2 linked regions of the Stegostoma tigrinum genome follow. The protein of the gene in region 1 purifies or fractionates together with the protein of each later gene. This does not show direct contact. Links are inferred from orthologs where the notes say so. Each region holds a gene or a part of one and is shown in the gene's direction. Other genes may lie near its edges.

Region 1 (11,003 bases):
AACATCTACCCAGACCTTCAAGCATTACCTGACATGCACATGGCAAAGTCTGCAACTCACACATTGGATTTAGAGGTATCTTAGGACCCAATGAGTGGAAGCAGGTAATCTATGATTCTGAGGGGTTGTCCTTCTACATGAAGGATGTTGATGGAGTGATAGAGTGCAGAAAAAAATTACAAGCATATGTAACTGGAAGGTTGGGGTTATAGTGAGAGACTGAATGGGTCAGGCATTTTCCCTGGAGTGTTGGAAGCAGAGGGTTGACCTTATGAGGGGCATTGAAAGGGTGAATATCCATGGTCTTTGTAATTGGGTGGGGGTATCCAAAACTAGAGGGCACAGGTTTAAGGTGAGAAGGGAAACATTTTCATGCAGAGGGTGATGCGTATATGGAATGAGTTGGTAGAGGAAGTAATGGAAGTGGATACAATTACAACATTTAAAAGACATCTGGATGGGTATATGGATAGGAAGAGTTTAGTGGGATATGGACCAAATGCTGGCAAATTGGATTACATCAGATTGGGTTTGCACAGATGAGTTGCCTGAACAGTCATTTTCTTGCTTTGTGACTCCATGACTCTATTTTTGTCTGAGAGAAGGATAGAGCTAGGGAGAAATGGAAGATTACAACATTGATTTCCAATGTCAGGTGGGACAAGAATGCCAATTCCTAAATGAGTTGGGTTAGGGAATGGCGGGGGGAAGGGGAGGTGGTGTGTACACCAAAGACTTAATTTACTGATTGGCGGTCCTGTTTATACAAATCTGTTATAAGAATATGGGAAACAGGAGCAGGAGTTGGCCATATGGCCTTTCAAGTCTGCTCTGTCAATGAATTGTTGAACTTCTACCTGACTTCATTTCCTTTCTTATCCGCTACATATTTACCCCAATTGTGATACATAATAGTTTTGCTAAAACAAAATTATTGTGGTAACCAAGTGCCCAATTTTAATGATGAAACAAATGGATAAAGACATCATAATTCGTATCATATCATATCATGATCCATATCTGAAGAAGGGTGCCAACCCGAAACGTCAAACTTTCCTGCTCCTCTGATGCTGCTTGGCCTGCTGTGTTCATCCAGCTTCACACTGTGTTATCTCAGATTCTCCAGCATCAGCAGTTCCTACTATCTCTGTAATGATTCATATCATAGTTGAAGACAATATATTGCGAAATGCAGGTCTCCTTAATTTATAGGGGTAAAGTAAATTGCATACTATACTTTGTATTTTTTATTAAATCCACAGATCATACGTTGTCATGTTGGGTTTATAAAGTAGGAGACTGGGCTATCTCAGAGTCTATCCATTTGCCTTCTTAATTACAGAAAGGTGATTTTTCTTCTTTGTTAATTCTATTGCATGCTTACTTACGTGGGGGTGTGACAAGAGTTGGTAGCAACGAACGGTGATAGTTGATCGTTAGGCACTAATAGGTCCAGTAAACTTCCAGTTCAGGGGTCGTAGGAACTGCCGATGCTGGAGAATCTGAGACAACAATGTGTAGAGCTGGATGTAGAGCTGCTGTGTTCATCCAGCTCTACACCTTATTGTCTCCAACTTCCAGTTTAATTCGTTACTGCCTTATTACGTTGACGCCTATGGTCCTTGTTTGGGAGAGTTCCAAAGATAGCGGTGACTCCAAAATACCTCTTTATACGTGTGAGTCTAAACAGAGTATCAGCGAACTATATACTCACAGACAGATGAGGCTGAACTTGACATTCATATTTGCAGGCAGCTGTGAGACTTTGATCAGGATCTTAACGTCTTTACTTCAAAAAAGTAAGATTTTGGGTTGAAGCAAAAATATAAAATGCTGGAAATATTCAGCAATTGAGCCTGTAAGCGAGAAGAGACTAGCAGAATTAATATTTAATGTTGATAACCTTTTGTCCACTCGTAGCTCAGCTAGCTCCTTGAAGGCTCCGCGGATTTCTAGCTGGGGAGGGAAGGGATCAGAAGGAAGCCTGTTCTCTAAAGGGTTGCAAGATAAGGACTGAATTGTGCCGAGCGATGAAAACAAAAGAACAGGGGAGAACTCTGCGCTGAAGCGCTTTGGCTTTGCGGAATTTCTTGCTTTGTTTGTTTCACTGTAAGGGTCTCTTTCATTGGTTGTCATTGGAAGACTGGGTGTTATGAGAGTGCTAATTGGCCATGGTTTGCTGCCGCCAAGCTCCAATTGCCCCGTGTCCCTCTCCCCCAAATCTATTGACTGTCACCCACTTGGTGGGGGGTTAAACCTGGGCTCCGTCAGGGTGCATTTCACTTCGGGCTCAAATTTTGCAACCGTTCGGCGGAAATGCTGCGCTTTCCTGCCCTGTCCTATCCGGCTGGAGATTAAAAAGAGCAACCAATCGTGAAAAGCAAACATTCTCTCGCGTTTGTTGCGGAAAGCACAAGTTTCCGTTCGTTTTGCACGGAGGGATTTGATGCAAAGTTTTTCCTTTCACCTCACAATCGTTGTTCCATAATCCAGCCCCGCGCGTTATTTGCAAATACAAAATCTCAAACATTCAGAAAAAATTTACAACGTTATTGCATTGCGCGAAAAACAATTTTCTTTTGCATTTTACTCGTTCATACGTAATATAAGCAACAGCGTTGTCATGATCATAGAGTCTACAGCACAGAACAAGGCTATTCGACACATCTTGTCTGTTTTCGTCAAAAAGAAACACCTAACTATTCTAATAGATTTTTTCAGCTCATGCCTTGCCATCGCAGATGCACATCTAAAGCTTTCTTAAATGTTAAGAGTTTCTGCCTCTGCCACACTGATGGGCATTGAGCTCTACATTCCCTCAGTTCTCTGTGTGAAAAAGATTTTCCTCACATCTCTAACTCTTCGACTCCTTAGCTCAGATCTATGCCCCTTGTTCATTGATCCCTTCATTGAGGGGAGAGGTCTCTTCCTGAATACTCTTATGTCCCTCATAATGTTATAATTCTCAGTCAGGTCTCCTCATTCTCCTTGTTTATGTTTTATTGAATCTTGTTAGGTATATTGATATACATATATATGACTGTATTTTGGGTATTTACAAGGCTTTGTTAAATACACAACTTTACCATTTTTATTTTGCATTTAAATCGTTTGTGTTAAATGGTATAAGACTACATTGTTTTTACTTGCATTTTGCAAGGCTTTGTTAAACATTAGATTTCACAAATTTTTGCACATATATATAAATTTGCAGGTATCCATTTGTAAAACTTCTTTGTAAGTTCATTTCACTAGTTAAATATAAAACATTGCATTAATAAAAAGCAGAAAATGCTGAATATATTCAGCAGGTTTGGCAGCATCTGTGGAGAGTAAATCTGAGTTAATATTCAAGTTGAATCTAACTACCAGAATCCACAGTATTTTGCTTTTATAATAGGTTTTCTTCCTTCACTTCTCACAAATCTGTTAGATATATAGCACATAAGCACTGCAGTATTTTTCTTTTGCTTAAAAGTCCCTTACCGATATAAAACATTATTGTTCTATTTTATGAGCTTTTATGAAATTTTTATGAAATTGCTGGAAAAGCTCAGCAGGCCTGGCAGCATCTGTGGAGAGAAATCAAAATGCAAGTTTTCAGTCGACTCGTCTGAGTTTTTCCAGCAATTCCAGCAACAGGTCAGACGAGTCGACTGAAAACTTGAATTTTGATTTCTCTCTGCAGATGCTGCCAGGCCTGCTGAGCTTTTCCAGCAAATTCCATTTTAGTTTCTGATTTACAGCATCTTAAGTTTTTTTCCCTTTTTTACTTAGTTTATATATATTTTTCTTTCAACTTTTACAAATTGATGTTAGATCAATTGTTGGATTTGTTTTTATGAGTTTTTGCTTATGTATGTTTTCTTTTACATTCTATAAGTTTGTTATATATACGAACAGAAGTAGGTATCTAAATGTTCCACCACTCATTTACAGGTTGTGGTTGATCATTTAACTCCACAACCTTTTACTCCATGGTACAGTTTGGAGTCAAAATCCACAAAAGACCATAGCCATATCTATGCAATGGGGAGAATTAGCTTGGGGGTAACCACCAGAAAGTGCAGAATGAGAAACCAAGTCTCCATGATCTCCATCCAGTGTTGGGATTGAACCTCTACTGGTTTATTCTGCACCACATTTTAATGTACAAAATGTTGCATTTCTATCTTGTTTTACGTCTTGCTGGTAGATTTTTCTTTCATAATTTACAACTGTGTAAGATTTGCAATGTATAAAACATTGCAGTTTTTCTTCTGTTGCATTTTCCCACTGTTTGCTTATATTTAGTATCGCATTCAACAAATTTCTGTTAGATACATCACAACAGAAGCATTGCACTTTTTTGTGTGATGAGCCGTTGTGTTTTTTTTGCTTATAAATATATATAGGCTTTGGCATTTTACAAATTGATGTTCGCAGTAAAAAAAATTGCTGGCTGTGTTTTGATAGCTTGGGTGTGGGATTGTGACAGGGCCGGAGTTCCGGGGTTGCTGCTCATGCCAGGTCCCGGGAGGCGGCGCGCGCGAGGTGCTGGTGGCGGTGAAAGAAGGGGGGGGGATCACGTGACCAGTTGACTGGTTGACAAAAATGGCGGCGATCCCCGAATACAACATGGATGCCGGAAGGTTGGAGTGAAGCAGGGGGCGACGGACGAGAAGGAGGAGGAGGGGGAACAGAGAGAGGGGGTAAAAAAGGGAAAACAAAATAACAATAAACACATCGAGGCTCGGCGCCTCCCGCCCGGCATCTGCGGAAAAGGGAGGCGGGAAAGAGAGTCTCTGAAAATAATAATAATAATAAATCCAAATCTTTCTTCGCCCCTTTGGGGTGGGAGGGTTGAGGTGGTTTTGAGGGGAAGGTGAAGGAGGCAAAGGGGGGGTTAAAATAAAGTGAGGCGGAGCTGGAGGGGGTGGGGGGGGGTCACCATGAGAGGAAGGCGAGGTAGGCCGCCCAAGACGCTCGATGCTTCGCCGGCGGGAGGTGGCGGGGGACCGGCCGGCAGCCTGAGGTACCGGGCTACCGGGGTCGGCAGAGGCAGAGGGGCAGACCGGAGGCTGAATCACGCCGAAGCTGGCGGTAGAGGGAGCCGGACCTCGAGAGGCGGCAAGGCGGGGAACCGGGGCAGGGCCAAGGCCGCGGCTCAGCAGCAACGGCAGGGCAGCCGCTCCCGCAGGCTGACCGTCAACAAAGTCATCTACGACGACCACGAGAGTGAGGAGGAAGATGAGAGTCTGGTGTCCGAGGAAGAAGACGACGACGACGAGGACGAGCGGGAGAACGACGACGAGGACGAGCAAGATTCGGATTATCACCAGGCCACCGAGGAGGAGGAAGAGGACGACGAGGACGACGATGCTAGTTATTGCACGGAGAGCAGCTTCAGGAGTCACAGCACTTATAGCAGTACTCCAGGTAATGTTTCCAACATCACCAGAATCCCGTCCCTTTTTATGTTGAAGAATGTATTGTTCGATGACACCTATATGACATGTTTGGTTGGACTGTTTGGAGATCCCACTTTGTCAGATAATTACATACGCAATATTCATCAAACTCTTTCTGCATCCGTGCATGCAACAGTTGCCATGAAATGAAATTTGCGAAATGCGACTTAAGTGTTAGGAAACGTAATCTGACCTAAACTGTCATTATGATCCAGAGTTGCATTAGTTTAATCGTGCGGAGTAAGTAGTTTGTTGCAGTGATGCTGAATGGTTGGGATGTGTCTAAACTGTACACAAACTGTTGCTCATCCTGCTAATGAGTTGACTGTGGGCTTGGGGAAGAACCTCTGTGACAACTCGGCAGTCCAATTGCTTTTGACATCAGGGAAACAGTTTTAAATCTGGTGCTATTTTTCAATCTTAAAATAATTCTGTTTTATTTGGTCAGTTATTCTAATATGAGAAAAACAAGAAAAGAATGAAAATGTAAAACTGGGAATTTGAAACAAAATAATTGGAAACTCCAACAATAACTCAGTCTTAGTACTAAATTATTTTGTTTTACCTGGCGAAAAACAGAAAAGTTTCAAGTCAAGATCCAATCATCAGGACAGTTTAATAGTTCTTATGAAATAAGAAAACACAGGCATTCTCTGGTTTATATTAGATTTCATAATTTTTAACAACTGTGATTTTAAAATTGTTGGAGGATTTAAAAAGTCCTGTGCTTTGGAAAATAATAGAGTATACTAAATATTTATCACTCTCTTATCAGAATTAGATGTTCACATTGTCTGTAAATTTGAAGATGAGTTTATTTTCAAATATTAAACATTATACTTATTAACAATCCTGCCAAGCTTTAATTTCCTTGCCATTTGGAAAGGTTAAACTGTCTTTGATTCTTAATCTTGTATTGTCAGTAATGTGAAAGATGAGCAAGGATGTAGGCTCTCCCTGAGAATCAAATTGACACTAGTTGTCATTTTAGCTTTTAAACTTATGACATGCCTCCATCACATTGAGAGATAGGAATTGGACCTTGATCTTCTGACCCAACCATAATTTTAGTTGATGTAGCTATGTACCACAATTCCTCATGAAAATAGTGGTTGATTAATTTTGATGTGCCCAATACCTTTAGTAGAACGCTGCATATTTAGATTATGAATATTCCTCCTGTTCTGCATGCCAGTACCTCTTTTGGGTTTTAGTTCTTGCCAGTGGTGGTCATAGCGGTTTCAATTCTTTTGACCTCCTTCCATGCTTTGTGTGCTTGCACGTGATGTACAATATTCTGGTTGTATTTAATCCCAGGCTAACTTTCCTCTCCTTCAGCAGGGCAGTTTGAAAAATTGAGCACTCTACCTCTGGAGTATTTCCTGACTGTTTATGCTGAAACCCACGTCCCTGTTGTTATCACCCCAAGAATATTTGTTTCATGTTCCCAACCCTGGCATATCTGCTTCACAGACAGTAGCCTATTAAGAACTCAACCTAGGACCTCTCCAGTAGTATTCTACATATCCGTTGCCAGTTTCCTGGAACGTGTAATTTCGGCATCCACCACATTAAAACAGTTAAGTACATTTGAGGTTAAATCTCATCTACATGGTAAGCAACCCTCTCCAGTTAAGTCTCCATTGTGGCCCATGGATCTTCAATATTTCATTACTTTGTCCATGAGCTTTCTGTCACACCTCTACCAGCCATTACTTTAATCACAATGGTCCAGATCTTTGGAACTCATTTGGAAATATTGTTACACTTTTACCTTCCTTCAAAAACCGATGTTATTTTCTCCTTCCAACCTACTCTGTCTATGTCTTTACCTCTACCACCCGTATCACAATGCACAGACTTCTTGATTCTGTGGCATCATTTGTAAAATACATAATTTTTCTGAGTGGAATTTGAAATGAAAATACAGCCATTAGGGTAATGATAATTTGCTTTATAACAAGCAAAAAGGTTGCTCTAAATTTCTTTAAAGTGCCATGCACCAAATCACTCCAAATCAAAATTTTGTTTATGTGTATTTGTGGTAAGTACTGATCAATTAATGTTGTTCCTCTTATTTTGTATCTGTTTATAGATGTTTTGACAAATATTTTGGTTCATGAAGTAGGTCGAGACTATCCCTCTAATAATGATATTTGCAAGTGAAATGTCAAACACTTAGTGAATTAAATGCTCAATGTTGCATTCTTCAGTGGACTTAAAACAGAAATGCAGTCTGAATGGGCAACCAGTTTATTAACGCATTCTTTTCTGAAAAGTCATGGAAACAGGAGTTGGCCATTCAGTTAGATTATTTCTGATCTGTGATTTGGTTCTGCGTCTTTATCATGCTATATCTGAACCACATGCTCGTAAGCTAACTGCTCATCATTTGACCTGACAATGGTGTATGCTCATAATGTCTTATAAAAATTGGATTTTAGTACAGTTGAAAGTGGAAAATATATAGTGCAGCTCAGCAGGAGGCCATTTGGCCTAATCACTCTGCTTCTTTTGGAGATTAATCTGGTTGGGTCCCCTGTTTCACTCTGTCTAATTTTCTGTCTTCTTCCCCACCCAAAACACAGTCTTTCACTATTTCTGTGCAATTTTTTTGTCTCCATGAAATCTTCGTCAATTACTGTTAGTAGGCCATTGTTTATTCTGTATCCACTACCCAGTGAGGTATCTCCAGTCTGTTCATGTAACTAATCCCTCATCCCTGAAGCTATTCTAGTAAATTGCTCTGTACCCTCTCCAAAGCTTTCATGTTCTCTCTCATGTATGGAGTCCGGATTTCTGTGTAATGCTCCAGCTGGGGCTGAGGTAGTCTTTTTCATATGTTCAACATAACCTCTTTTCTAATCTGTCTTGAATTAAAAAGAAAACAATTTCTTATGCTTTATTAACAACGTCGTTCATCTGTCTTGTAACTTTCTAAAAATTTGTACCCAATGTAATGGACTTTAGTAATGCCTTTGACAAGATCCTGCACAGCAGGCTACTCATGAAGGGTGAGGTTGCATGAAATCCAGGGAGAGCTAGCTAATTTAGTTCAACATTGGTTGAATGGTAGAAAGCAGAGAGTGATGGTTGAAGGTTGTTTCTTGGACAAGAGGGGCCTGTGACTAGTGGTGTACTACAGGTCGATGCTGGGAACTTTGTTATTTCCAAAAATGACCTTGATATGAATGTGCACGGCATGGTTAGTAAGTTTGCAGATTATACAAAATTAGGAGGCATCATTGATAGTATTGATATCAAAAATTACAGAGGGATCTTGATCAGATGGAGAAGTGGGCTGAGGATTGGTGCATGTAGTTCAATACAGATAAGTATGTGGTGTTGTACTTTGGAAGGGTAGGACTTAGACAGTAAATGGTAAGATCCTGAGGAGTGTTGTAGAATAGAGGGACCTAGGAGTACAAGTACATAGATTGTTGAAAGCAACACCATAGGTGGACAGGCTGGTGAAGAAGGCATTTAGCATGCTGGCTTTTGTCAGTTGAGGCAATGAGTATTGGAGTTGGGACATAATCTTACATTTGTGTAAGTCATTGGTGAGGCTGCACTTGGATACTGTGTATAGTTTTGGTTACCCTGTTATAGGAAAGACATAATTTACCTGGTCAGTGTGCAATGAAGATTTATGAGGATGTTGCCAGGACTAGTAGGCCTGAGTTATAGGGAGAGGTTCGCCAGGATAGGACTTTATTCCTTGGAATGTTGGAGAGTGAGGGGTGACCTTTATTGAGGTGTATAAAAGCATAAGGGGCATAGATAGGATGAATGCATATAGCCTTTTTCAGAGGAATGGGGAATTGAAAACTGGAGGGCATAAGTTTAAAGATTTAAGAATATTTAAGAAGGATCTGAGGGGTAGCTTCTTCATGCAGAGAGTGGTGCGTATGTGGAATGGACTGTCAGAGAAAGTGGTTGAGGCAGGTATAATAGCAACATCTAAAAAAAATCTGGATAGGTATATGGATGGGCAGGGTTTAGAGGGATATGGACCAAATGCGGGCAATTAGAGCTAGCTGATCGGGCACCATGGTCAGCATTGAGCGGTTTGGGCCCAAGGGCCTGTTTTCATGCTGTAATGCTGTATAACTGAATGACACTAGTGCTTTCACTGTAAGTAGTAGTTGCGTTTCAACAACTCAGGACATTGTAGGGGTCTTTAGTAGTGTATCCACAAGTGTCAATACATTCTATCATCTCGTTTCGGTTTGGTTGCACTGCACTTGAGTCACACTTCAATGATTCAATTTAAAATAGCATCCCACGATCAGTTAAGCAAAGTATTTAACAATATTGGATCTGGATTTTCAGCCTTCCCTCAAAAAACACTTTCACATATTTCTTCAGCTAACTCCTCCTTCTCATAGCATGCTGCTTTTAAGTTCATAGCTATTAATTCAACTAAATGTTATGTTCTCACTGAGCAATTTTCCAAATGTTTAGCAGATCTATGGTGTAAATAATCTTAAATTCCTATTGCATAATTATTGTATGTTATACACATGCAAGTTTTTTTTTGAAGTAATGCAAGATGTGAGCTATTGACTAGTATGTTTCTGTGCAGTAACTTGTGTTTTCAGCTGTAAACACTGACATCGTGAGAAGTGAGAAGCAAGACCAACAGAATCTGCCCTTCTCTGCCTCACTGGGGACAGATGTTTCGTATTGACATGTTCATGCAATAATGACAAGAATGAAAAATCTTCTCCGAGATTGTAGGAACTGTAGATGCTGGAGAATCTGAAATGACAAGGTATAGAGCTGGATGAACACAGCAGGCCAAGTGGCATCATAGGAGCAGGAAAGTTGACATTTCAGGCCTAGACCCCTGAAGAAGGGTCTAGGCCCGAAACATCAGCTTTCCTGCTCCTGTCATGCTGCTTGGCCTGCTGTGTTCATCCAGCTCTACACCTTGTTATCTCAGAATGAAAAATCTGACAGGAAAATGTTGAAATCGGTTGAGGGGGGAGTAAGACAGTGGTACTTGCCAATCAACATGTATACTGATTTAACTTTGAATCAGTTATTGTAACAAAATCCTGGGAGTGCAAATATGATTAGATGACCTAAAATGTATTCTTTGCCGGATAAGGAACGCATTTATGGATTGGCTAGTGCTATGTGACACACTGAGATAACAAAAAGTCTGTTTTTAAAAAGCGGTGTATTTTTAAAGAAAGTCATTCACTTTGTCAAATTTAAATCTTTGTTTTCCTAAGATTTTGCTTTTGGGTCAATTTACAGTGAACTTGTCCTGATTTTCACAGTTACCAATCAGGCAGTATAATTACATGAAAGAAATGACCTTTTTCTTCTGCCAACCCAGATCACTATCTTCGTATTTTGCTCTATTTCATTTTTACTTAATATTCTTCTTTCTAGCCAATGGCCCATTGGTTTAGCCACTGCAATTCCGAGTGGAAATTTTGTCTTCAGAAACCGAATCTTAGACCATTGCTTAATGAAGCTAATGAACCTCGTATGAGTACACATCTGCTGCAATGATAGTCTAATTCTGAAAATTGAAAGACA
Region 2 (11,003 bases), on another chromosome or scaffold:
GATGCCACCCGAAGGTTGCAGGAACAGCAACTCATATTCCGCTTGGGAACCCTGCAGTCCAATGGTATTAATGTGGACTTCACCAGCTTCAAAATCTCCCCTTCCGCCACCGCATCCCAAAACCAGCCCAGTTCGTCCCCTCCCCCCACTGCACCACACAACCTGCCCAGCTCTTCCCCTCCACCCACTGCATCCCAAAACCAGTCCAACCTGTATCTGCCTCCCTAACCTGTTCTTCCTCTCACCCATCCCTTCCTCCCACCCCAAGCCGCACCTCCATCCTTTGATGGGTCTAGGCCCGAAACGTCAGCTTTTGTGCTCCTGAGATGCTGCTTGGCCTGCTGTGTTCATCCAGCCTCACATTTTATTGTCCTATATTCTCCTTTTCTGTGCTGATGAGTTATTGCCTGTCCTTATCCTCACTGATTCCTGTGCAGCCTTCAATGCATTTGATGAACACTCATTCTCCAACACCACTTCACTGGTGTCCAATTCCCTGGGACTGCACTTTCTTGATTCCATTCTTATCCATTTACTTGTCACCAGAGGATACCTGGAAGTGATTTTTGTAATTACCAATAAAGTGTCACCTCTAGGCAACACCAAGGACACCTCTTTAATCCTTGCTGTACAAGCTGCCCCTCAGTGACATCACCCATAGCCATGGGTACCACTGCTACACAAATATCAAACATTTCACACAACCTCACCACTACGTCAATGATGTTATACTACTTGATGGAGAAACTGAACATTGGAAAGATCAATATGCATGCTTTTGGCTCTGGCCATAAACCTTGTACGGCAATTCTATCCTAACATAGCAACCTAACTAGGACCAAATTAAACTGTTCCAACCTCATATCTTCCCGATCAGAAAGACCACTAAATTTCATATTGCGTATGTCTATCCCTTTCTCAGCCCATATCCTGCTAAAACCAGCCATTCATCCACCTGAGATCAATTACCTTGACATTCTCCTGGCCAGCTTCCAGCCCCCATAAACTTCAGTTGAGCCAAAGCTCTGCTACCTGTACATATCACAGGTTAAGTCCTGCTTTTTCAGTAACCTCACCATACGCATTCCTTGGCTCCAGATGTCAGAATGTTTCAAATTCATTTCACCGAAATCTTATTATTCTAATAAACATTTCCACCCTTACAATCACACAAACTTTTCTTTTACACACAGTTATGTTACATACCCTCATCCATTCTCTTTAAGGCATTAATTTAAGCCTGCTTAATTCAATGATAAAGTGTGGAAGTTGGCCATTTGGCCCATCACATCCACACTGACCCTCTGAAGAGCATTCCACGCAGGTCCACCACCTAGCCTTTCCCTGCATTTCTCACCCTAGACCCTATGGGCAACTTAGCATAGGCAATCCATGCAATCTGCACACCTTTGGACTATGGGAGGAAACCAAAGCACCTGGGGAAACCCACACAGACACATGGAGAATGTGCAGACTCCACACAGACAATCGCCCAAGAATCAATGATAATGGGAACTGCAGATGCTAGAGAATCCAAGAAAGCAAAGTGTGAAGCTGGATGAACACAGAGATGAAGGGTCTAGGCCTGAAACGTCAGCTTTTGTGCTCCTGAGATGCTGCTTGGCCTAATGTGTTCATCCCGCTTCACACTTTGTTATCGCCCAAGAATCAAATCCAGATCCCTGGTGCTGTGAGACAGCAGTGCTAACCACTGTGCCACAGCCTTTCTTTGGAACATCAGCCCTTTTTTTCACATCTGTGAAGTGCTTAGGAACTTTTGTCTATGCTATAGATGGTATATAAAAGCAAGTTGTCATTGAAATATTTCAGATATATTTATTCAATTACATAGACTTACAATGAATGACTTATTATACATCACCCTTAAATGGTAGAAAATGAAGTGTCTGTAAAAACAATGTGAAGAAAGCTGGTAGAATGTCCCACTTACATATTTCCCATGCCCATTAAAAATAAATTCTGAAAAATTGGTGGAGAAAATCTATGCCTTGATGGGTAGGCGGTAAAGGAGAACTGAATCCACAATCAGATAAGCCATGATTACATTAAATAGTGAGCAGGCCTGAGTGGCTGAATAGCCTACTGATCATAATTTATGTCTGTATATCTTGGTCACTGGTTTTTCAATTTAAAATCTGACATTTGTCAAAAAACAGCGACAGTATTTCTTAGTAAATACGTTTTTTAAAATCAAGTAATTTTCTAGCACTGTTACTTTCACCTTAAATCATAAAAACAATGTAGAATAGCAAGGACTAGAAAAGAGCCTTTGAGGGAGCTAAAAATCTCCCATTAACTACTAATATGAAAAAATAATCAAAGTGTATGTTCAAAAATACTTGTGGAGTAAAACAATATACCGAGTAGTGTTGTAGAACTCATGTAATAGTTAATGATACTGATTGCATCAGTACTAAGTGGGTGTAAAGCTAACTCATTTATCACTGCAGGACTCAGCCTGCCATAAGCCTAGCAAGCAGTTACAAAGCAGTGGATAACTTGTGGATTTTGATGATATCATAAACATCCATATCATCAGACCCACAATATTTGGTGCCAATGTAAATTCATTTATTTTCAATATATCCAGGCAGGATAATTTAAATTGTTGAATTCAAAGCTTCTCTCAAGTGAGTTGAAACCCCAAAGCAGGTTGGTACCCTTATGGATTGGTTCTTGAATTACAATCTTTTAGCTTTAAGATTCAAATATTAATTATACTGCACGTAAATGTTGGTCATAAATCTCTCCAACTGCACATGCAACTTCTTTTGGGGGTCTATAGTTGATGCACATATAAGGAAAAATCTCCAATATTTTTGCATTGTTATTATGATGAATACATGATTTCTATTTAAGAGATTGTGTTTGAGTTTCTTCCTGTCATCAGATTGTGCGAGAATGGTTTAGTATATTAGTTCCAGTAACATCAAAAGTTAGCCCAATCTGTTTGAGTATCCGATTCTTCAAATAAATAATATCGGAATTTTAATTTACCCACACCCCTCGTCAAAAGGCCGATTAGTTATCAGCTTAATGACAAGTAACAATGTTGTGACAATTGCTTTTGCAATTGGGGAAGCATTATCAAAATATGTGGGCTTTGGCATTTTTTAAAACTTAGTGTACTACTGTGGACCATGTTGTTCACTTGCTGCAGAAGGGCACGACTAATAAAAACACAGATATTCCGTTCAAAACAAAAAGAAGTCTCCTTTATATCGTAGTTTCGAGATTGCCGGTGTATAGTGACTATGGAAATCTATACAGCCTGTGTTAACTGGCTTTATACCAGAAAATCATGAGAATAATGTCGTTGCTTGCACCGAGGCATTCTCCCAGGTTTGTTTCATTACCACATCAGGAGTACAGCCAAAGACGTAAAAAAAAGTCTCCTAATCTATGCACCAATTATCAAATCCTGCCCGAGAGGTCGAGTTGCAGTCATGCACCAGCTAGGAGACTGAACATTCTCTAGGATGCAATTAGTCCAACTTCACGATGTAAAATGAGTAGCCTATCCCCTGATCTTCGTAGGAAAAGAGGAAGGTTGTGTTTGGTAGCTGATGGTGTGCACATGTGTGAAATAAGGAGTGGCAAGACTTATTCCCATTCGAACTATATCACAGACTGGCACAAGAATCTGCCGAACGATTGGCGGAATGGTGAGAAGTCTCGCGATGTTTGTAGAAAATGACAGAACGGGCGGGGGGTGTAGGTTTTCATTTGGCTTTCTCAATAGCAGTGCAATAACAATGCGATGAGGAGAATCTGAGTGCAAGCGAACGCCTAAACCGGGTTGCTTTGGTTTGTTGTTGTTTGTAACGCAGACAGCAGAGAGAGAGTGTGTCGGCAGGATGAGTGAGGAGGAGGAGGAGGAGGCGGCCAGTACCTCTGGCCAGGGGGACACGCTTGGGGTGAGTGTGTAACAAAGTACCGGCTCATTGTTTCCAACTTTGTATCCATTGGCGATGGAACGCCGGGGGAGTAGCAACGTTCGGTGGCGGGAAAACACCGCCGTTCACCCTGAGGGACGCTGTTGCCAATCAGTTGTTCAAGTGCTGCGGGCTCCTGTTTAATAAAACAAACAAACACACACACACGTAACACACAAGGGTGCCGAGACTGCACTGTGACTGTTTATTGTCCTGCCGGAAGCACGGGGAGAAGTGCTTTTTATTTTTAAAAAAGAATATTATATAAATAAATATTTTAGCCTCAGTCCGTATTCGGGCCTCAGTTTGCGTGCTGCGCGCTGGCCAGTCAGGGTAAGCTGTACAGGAGGATAAAGCCTGGGAAGTCCAGGCCTTTGCTCTCCTTTCTGTACGTCAGCGCTGGCCACTTGCGTGTATCAATGTGCACTGAGGGACACTGGTTCAACTGAGGGCGAAAATAAACACGATTTTTAAAAAAAGAATACCGAAAGCGAATGTGGTTTGCAACAGTGACTTCGAACCCCCCCCCCCGTTTTAGTGTGGGAATGCTTAAAAAGGCTGCTGAGAGAGCTTGACATATGTAAATTGAGTTGGTGCAGAAACATAAATAACTGGAATTACACCAAATAAAACAAGATATTACAGCGGAACTAGATCACGTCAGGAGAAACTTACTCAAAACGGTAGCAAATACACAGCACCTTGTCACCTCTCCGGGAAAGCAAGACCTAATTTTGAAGTGCAGTGATTAACCTTTTATAATGGACATATACTTAGACCAAACGAGTTAGCAAAAACAAAAATATTGGTCATGTTCACGTTGCTCACATGCTGTGGTGTGAAGGCAGAATAAGCCTGCTAGAGGGACATTTTGATGAGCTGCATAGCATATCTCAACTGAGACTTATAAATTATTTCCTTAATAATGTGACAGTTAAAACTTGTTAATTGCATTCAAGGTCTACAGTGCTACCATCTTTATTCCCTTTGCAGTACATGCAAGGAAAAAGTTGGCTGCAAAAAGTGACTTTAATGAACACCACAGAACTGACTAGTATTTTGTGCTCCTGAGATGCTGCTTGGCCTGCTGTGTTCATCCAGCCTCACATTTTATTATCTTGGAATCTCCAGCATCTGCAGTTCCCATTATCTCTGATAGTATTTTCTGTCGTTTCCCTCCCCATAGTATGATCACAAGGGAAAAATGGTATGTCATGAGTTCAGTCCAAGTGGTTATAATTAATATGTAGTACTCAAACACTCCACAGACCCTGCTGTACCTGAAACCGCAAATAGTATCATGTCTTAAAACACCTCTACGTATTTTTATTGGCTTCCCATGATATCTGCCCACTCTTCAAGGTCCTAAAATGCTGTTGAATACTAAAATACAACTTAACAGCATCTCTCTCTCTCTCTCAATCCTTTCAAATACTGGGAGACCAATAACTCCTTCCTCACCTCAACTCCCTGCTCCACCAAACCCCTTAATCTGTGTTTAAGTAGAAACAGTTTTAAATAATGCCTTTAGGGTTTTATATCATCCCTTCCAGCCTGGGATTAATATTCTTCACTCTAAGGTAATTTAGTACATCATATTTCCTCTTCCTTGGTTCACTAAGTCTATACAGCCATCGCTGGCCAAGGGCTTCTTAGGACTGCCCAACTCAAAGGAAAACGGAAGATGACAGCCTCCCTCTCAAAGCTGTGGATGTTTCGACTAAACATTAAAAGAAACAAGTTCCAGAAGTCAGTAATAAAACTTGAGACCCTATTATTTACCTTGCTGTGTATAAACCAATCTAAAATGAATAAGTACAAAATCCATTTGTGGTGCGCAAAAACCCAATTGCTCTCAAGCCAGGCCCGAAATCTGTTTATGAGAAATTACCTTGGCTACTGAAATACTTGCAAGTTAATGATTAACTTCAGACACACAGAAAACCTACTGGTTACTAACTCAAAACACAAAAGCACAAACTCACAATAAATGGTTATGAATGGATATAATACACATCTGTAAAACATAGTTTGCTACACAGAAGTTAAGTTTATAGCTGCTGTGCAAAATGATTGAAGTAATGCGCCACTAATGTTTTTCCTCAGCTGTGTGAACAGGCTGGCCCTGAAGTTAAACAAGAACCTTCAAACGTGCAGGTATGTGAATAATATCACATTGGGCTGTGCAATCTAGAATGTACAAGGTGCATGACATTTATTCTTTAACTTTTGACACATCTGTGGTCTTCCAAGCTTGTTCTACATAAAACTTTCAGAAGTAGTTTCGTTCAAATTTCAGGTGCATCTTCTTGCAGCCAAATTTTTGTTGTTGAATAACTTGTTATGAAGTTATTTTTGATTTCCTGTTTTCCTAATTTTCCCAATATTTTAAAGTTGTTTTCAAAGCTCATTGGCTGTATGAAAAATGAAACAGTCATGGAATTACCCCTTCCCTGGAGTGGTGCAGCTAATGGCCAGAAAGCGTAGTGAGAATGAAAAAGTGAGAACCTCGATTTCGAGAAAAGAATGATTGATTTACCCCTTAAACTTTAAACTTTGACTTCAGAATCTTGCTATTGAGTGATGACTAACTTATTTTGATGCAATTGCATTTCATTATTAGTCCAAATCATGTCTCTGTAAATATTTTACATGTGTTGTGACCTTTTTCATTACATCCTGAAATGGGACTTGAACCTGGACCTTCTTGCCCAGACGTAGGGTAACTACCATTACATTGTAAGTCTCTCATTGTAGATAGATTTTATTAACTACTCATATTACAGCACACACTTCCCACCTACTTCCGCACTGTACACATTTTTCATTAACCCATTCGTACATACGATGATACGTATCTGGAGCAGATGGAACTGGAAACTCCAGCCCAGAGCTATAGACAATACCTGTGCACCAGAAAAGCCCTATTGCTTCCACTTCATATCTATCCACTAAATTAATTAATAAATTAACCCAAATTGCTTACTTCACTACTTGCTATGTTTACAGATTACTCTCCTAATCTAAAACTTTTGAAGACATCAGACAATCCATGAAAAGGGGCTTTTGGTGCATTGGTAGTTTATCTACTTCAAGCCTGAAGTCTGTTCTATGAGAACTGTCCCAATTTATCAGGATTTGATTAGTACTTTCTAAGTAAGGCTGTTGATCTAAAGTCACTCCTGATTTTTTTCTGCTTAATATTTTGCCCAACATATTTGAAGATCCCTGAAGTCTGACTCCAAATCTTAAATTCCCTTTTTATTTTATCCTGCACATATTGCTCATGTAACTCATGAAAATCATCAGTGTACATCACAACGACGCTTGCCAGTTTCTCTTGGCAATACCCGTAGAACATTTCTGGGTTTACATGAAGCTGAATGATACTTTTGATGACATGATCTAACTATGAAATACCATTAAAAAACTAGGAAAACTGCAGATGCTGGAAATCAGAAACATAAAAACAAAAATTGTGGAAACTCTCAGCAGTCCTGGCAGCATCTGCAGAGAGAAATCAGAGTAAAAATTTGGGGTTCAGAATTGAAATAACATACCTTTGCTGAATCATTCAACTTAAAAATGTTAAATTAGTTTCTGTATTTTCCCTTTCCTACACCCTGCTTCTTTAGGTTGTTCTAAAAATTATTGCTTTTGAAACTTTTTAGCTTGCAAAATTACACCTTTTGCATTGATTAACTTACATTTCCATGAGTACGTTATGAAAAGAGCTAAGAAGATCCTTAAGAGTTCTTTTGCAGCCAGAGAATTCACTCCAACATCCGGAATACCACGCTTCTCTCTGGAACCCTGAGGCTGACTTTGGCTTATGTCACGTCAGGGAGCTTATCCATTTGTATGATAAGGCTGGTTGTCTGGCAGTCAGTTCAGAGGGAGATAAGTTGGAATGGGTCAGGGGGCAGCAGAGAAATTGAGGTGACCAATGTCACATCAGCAGTTCTTGATGAACAGCTCAAGTGCAAATAAAAGCGTAGAAGGAAGAGTTCCAGTAGGAGGGACAATGTTGGAGGTAAGTGAAAGGGTTTGTGTGATGGGCAAAGGACCCTTGGTCCAGTGAAATAGGCACAGAAGCGAAGGCAACAGAAAAAGTGTTCAATGCCTTGTCATGCCCGAAATTCATTAAGGTGGGGAAGCAGAGGCAGAAAACTGAGTTCAGAACATTCAGCATCAGACAGCCGAAGGTCAGAAGGGATAGTAAATATGCAATAGGAAGTGGGGTTAGGAGAGGGGATGGAGTGAGAGGGAAAGGGGGGCTGGAAGATTCTGAATGGGCTTGAGTATCTTTAGGTTGTCGCATCTTGTGTTCCTTAATGCCTGACAGGAAAACGAAAAGAATAAAGTTCCTTGTTAGAACATCAAATAAGTCAGAGGATGAAGTGGAACTGGCAGTGGGGGGTGGGGGTGGGGGGGGGTGGTGTGTGGAGCGCAAGACAGCTCTAAGCCAGTGTGAGGCGACGCTGTTGGGAGATTGAGTTCAAGATTGTGCATATGGTGATGGATCAGTGTGGATCTCAGGATGTGGCGATACCAACTTCCCGAAGAACACAGTACATCATGGAGATGCCTGTGATCCTGGTTGGATTCAAAGCACGAAGGATGAAAATTGAGTTGGAATCCACGTGTGGTGATTCTAAGCCTGAAGCAGTCACTGAGGAATGTGACGTGTCTGTGGAAGAGAGTTTTGGCAAATACCTTGTCAAACGCCAGGAGAAACAATAAAATAAATGACGATGATTTTGGAAACAGATTAGCATGGAAATCTTGCGGGAGAGAGGAGCAGAATTTCAAGGTGGGCACACCAGGAAGAGATGTATCACTAAGTTAAACACTAAACAAAAAGCCAGAGAACCACAAAGGCTGGAAATTAGAAACAAAATCAGAAATCGCTGGAGGAACTACATGTCTAGCAGTTTGTATAGAAAGGAAGTAGAAAAAAGGTCACAAGAATCAAAATGTTAGTTCTGCTTTCTCTCTGTAGATGCAGCCAGACCTGTTGAGTTTTTCCAGCAATTCCTGTTTTGTACTTGCTGTCCAGTCATATTCTTGACTACTCCTTGATCTTCACCCCCTATGTTCAAGATTCCTTTTGCAAATTTGCTACCTTTTCCTTGGGCTGTGTTCACTTCCCAGTCCACTTCTGGAATATGTACTGCAGCTGTTCATTTTGCTAGTTGTGCATCTTGCCATATGTTCCTCATCTTGCACATTTTAAGCAATGTTTATATTTGTCAGTGGTCTTCCCTGCTATCCCTACAGTGATGGCATCTTTATATTTCAAAGATACATATAGTATCTTAGGGCCAACATTTGATCATTGTTCATTGGGGCAAACAGCCTTGCCCTGCATCTCTGTCTCCATTTTGTCCCTGTTTAGTTAGCCCATCTTCTGCCATTATCTGATCTGCATAATTATTCTGTGTATGTATCTGCAAAGTGCATGATACCTCATTATTTTCCATGACTTGTTCAGATTCTGTATGTGTGTATTCACTGCCGGTTAACCAAACTCTGATGAAGGATCTAGGCCCGAAACGTCAGCTTTTGTGCTCCTGAGATGCTGCTTGGCCTGCTGTGTTCATCCAGCTCTACACTTTGTTATCTTAGTTTGTTTGCTGTGCTGTTTTTGCATCATCGCCTATACTGTTGACATTCCTTTCCATCTCATTCTGCCCTTCTATTTTGTAATAGACCCTGGATTAAAATTTTTTTTTAGATGACAATATGCAATGCCATGGAACTCCCAAATTTTCTCCGAAACCTTCTCCCTGTATGCAGGACATTCAAATGCTCAGTAAAAGTGCATTTAATAGTGTTCCCTTCTCAAGCCAAGATGATCACTCATCACTGAAAGAATTTTTAGATTTCTCCCAAAAATCATTGGACGTGGACTATAGCTCCCAACCATTTACAGTTCTCCACATGGACTGTCTGTTCAACTTGGAAGGTCTTGTTAGATTTTATGAAGCATTTAATTGACTACTATATGAGTATTTCTACACATTCTTGCTTTTACTAAAGGGACTGTTCGTTCCACTCCTCTCCCACGCACTACCCATCCATTGCCAGTTAGGAATTGAGCCAATGCCTCCAGTCTATTCCTTAATCATATTTCCAATGTATTGTTCACTATTACTGTTCTTTTAGTATTTGTTATTGTAAACTGAAGAAATGTAATTGCTACATCTACAAAGTGCAATATGAATATGCCTTTCCTTATATGCCTTAAAGTCCATACCACCACTTCATTAAAGCCTCTCGCCGATGGTATTCATGGTGGTATCTTCTAATGTAAACTTTTTTTACACTTACTGCTAATTTGTTTGACAAATATACAAAACTCATCCACCCTTACTCCTGCATTTTTTAAGAATGATTTTTAACTTGTGAAAATGGATGGAAAATTGCTGATGTAGTCCTAAGCTAATTAACCCTTTTCTCTTGAACTTCCTATTCACTGACACCGACACCTTCTTTATATTTTGACTCAAGAAGTTAGATCCTAATAAAGGAATACAATTGTGTCTGAATTGAGCAAACTGTAAATCAGTTGACTTTCCAAAAACATTTGCCGTGCTTTCATATGTGAGTTTCATTTTGGCCTTTTACATGGATGATCTGTTCAATAGTGAAATTGTTTCATTTACATTACATCTGTGCTGATGAAATTGCTAATCCCAGCTATTTTACAGGGAATTACAAGTCTTTTTAGTGATGTCAGGTCATTAGCATAACCTTATCTGAAGCGGGTAGAATTTCAAGTATATTCCACTATGGCATAATTATCTGACTTTCCAGATTTATCAAAGTTTGACAACATTTGCATTATTTAACAAGTCACACATTTTATACATTTAGCCCATAAATGTGAATAGATTACCTTACTCAATATTCAATTCTTGGCCTCTAACTCTGAGAATGCACCTGATCCTGCTTCATACTCTTTTTTTGTTTGGAAGTTGTAATCTGTGTCTGTATTTACTTAATTTTTCTACTGATCGTAGGTTCACAGCATGTTGATGAGAA

Evidence for each region. The genes of interacting proteins can lie anywhere in the genome.
Region 2: the proteins of bptf (region 1) and smarca1 purify together in Homo sapiens (affinity purification with mass spectrometry; 4 studies listed by BioGRID and IntAct, with this or other methods). This does not show direct contact. The link is inferred for Stegostoma tigrinum from reciprocal best matches to the Homo sapiens genes BPTF and SMARCA1.

What each region holds. Positions count from the first base shown.
Region 1 is NC_081375.1:10,335,143-10,346,145, forward strand, and holds the start of bptf (nucleosome-remodeling factor subunit BPTF), read left to right. Parts: upstream 1-4,931; coding exon 4,932-5,418; intron 5,419-11,003. UniProt on the Homo sapiens protein: Regulatory subunit of the ATP-dependent NURF-1 and NURF-5 ISWI chromatin remodeling complexes, which form ordered nucleosome arrays on chromatin and facilitate access to DNA during DNA-templated processes such as DNA replication, transcription, and repair.
Region 2 is NC_081368.1:32,749,309-32,760,311, reverse strand, and holds the start of smarca1 (probable global transcription activator SNF2L1), read left to right. Parts: upstream 1-3,697; 5' UTR 3,698-3,878; coding exon 3,879-3,938; intron 3,939-6,062; coding exon 6,063-6,113; intron 6,114-11,003.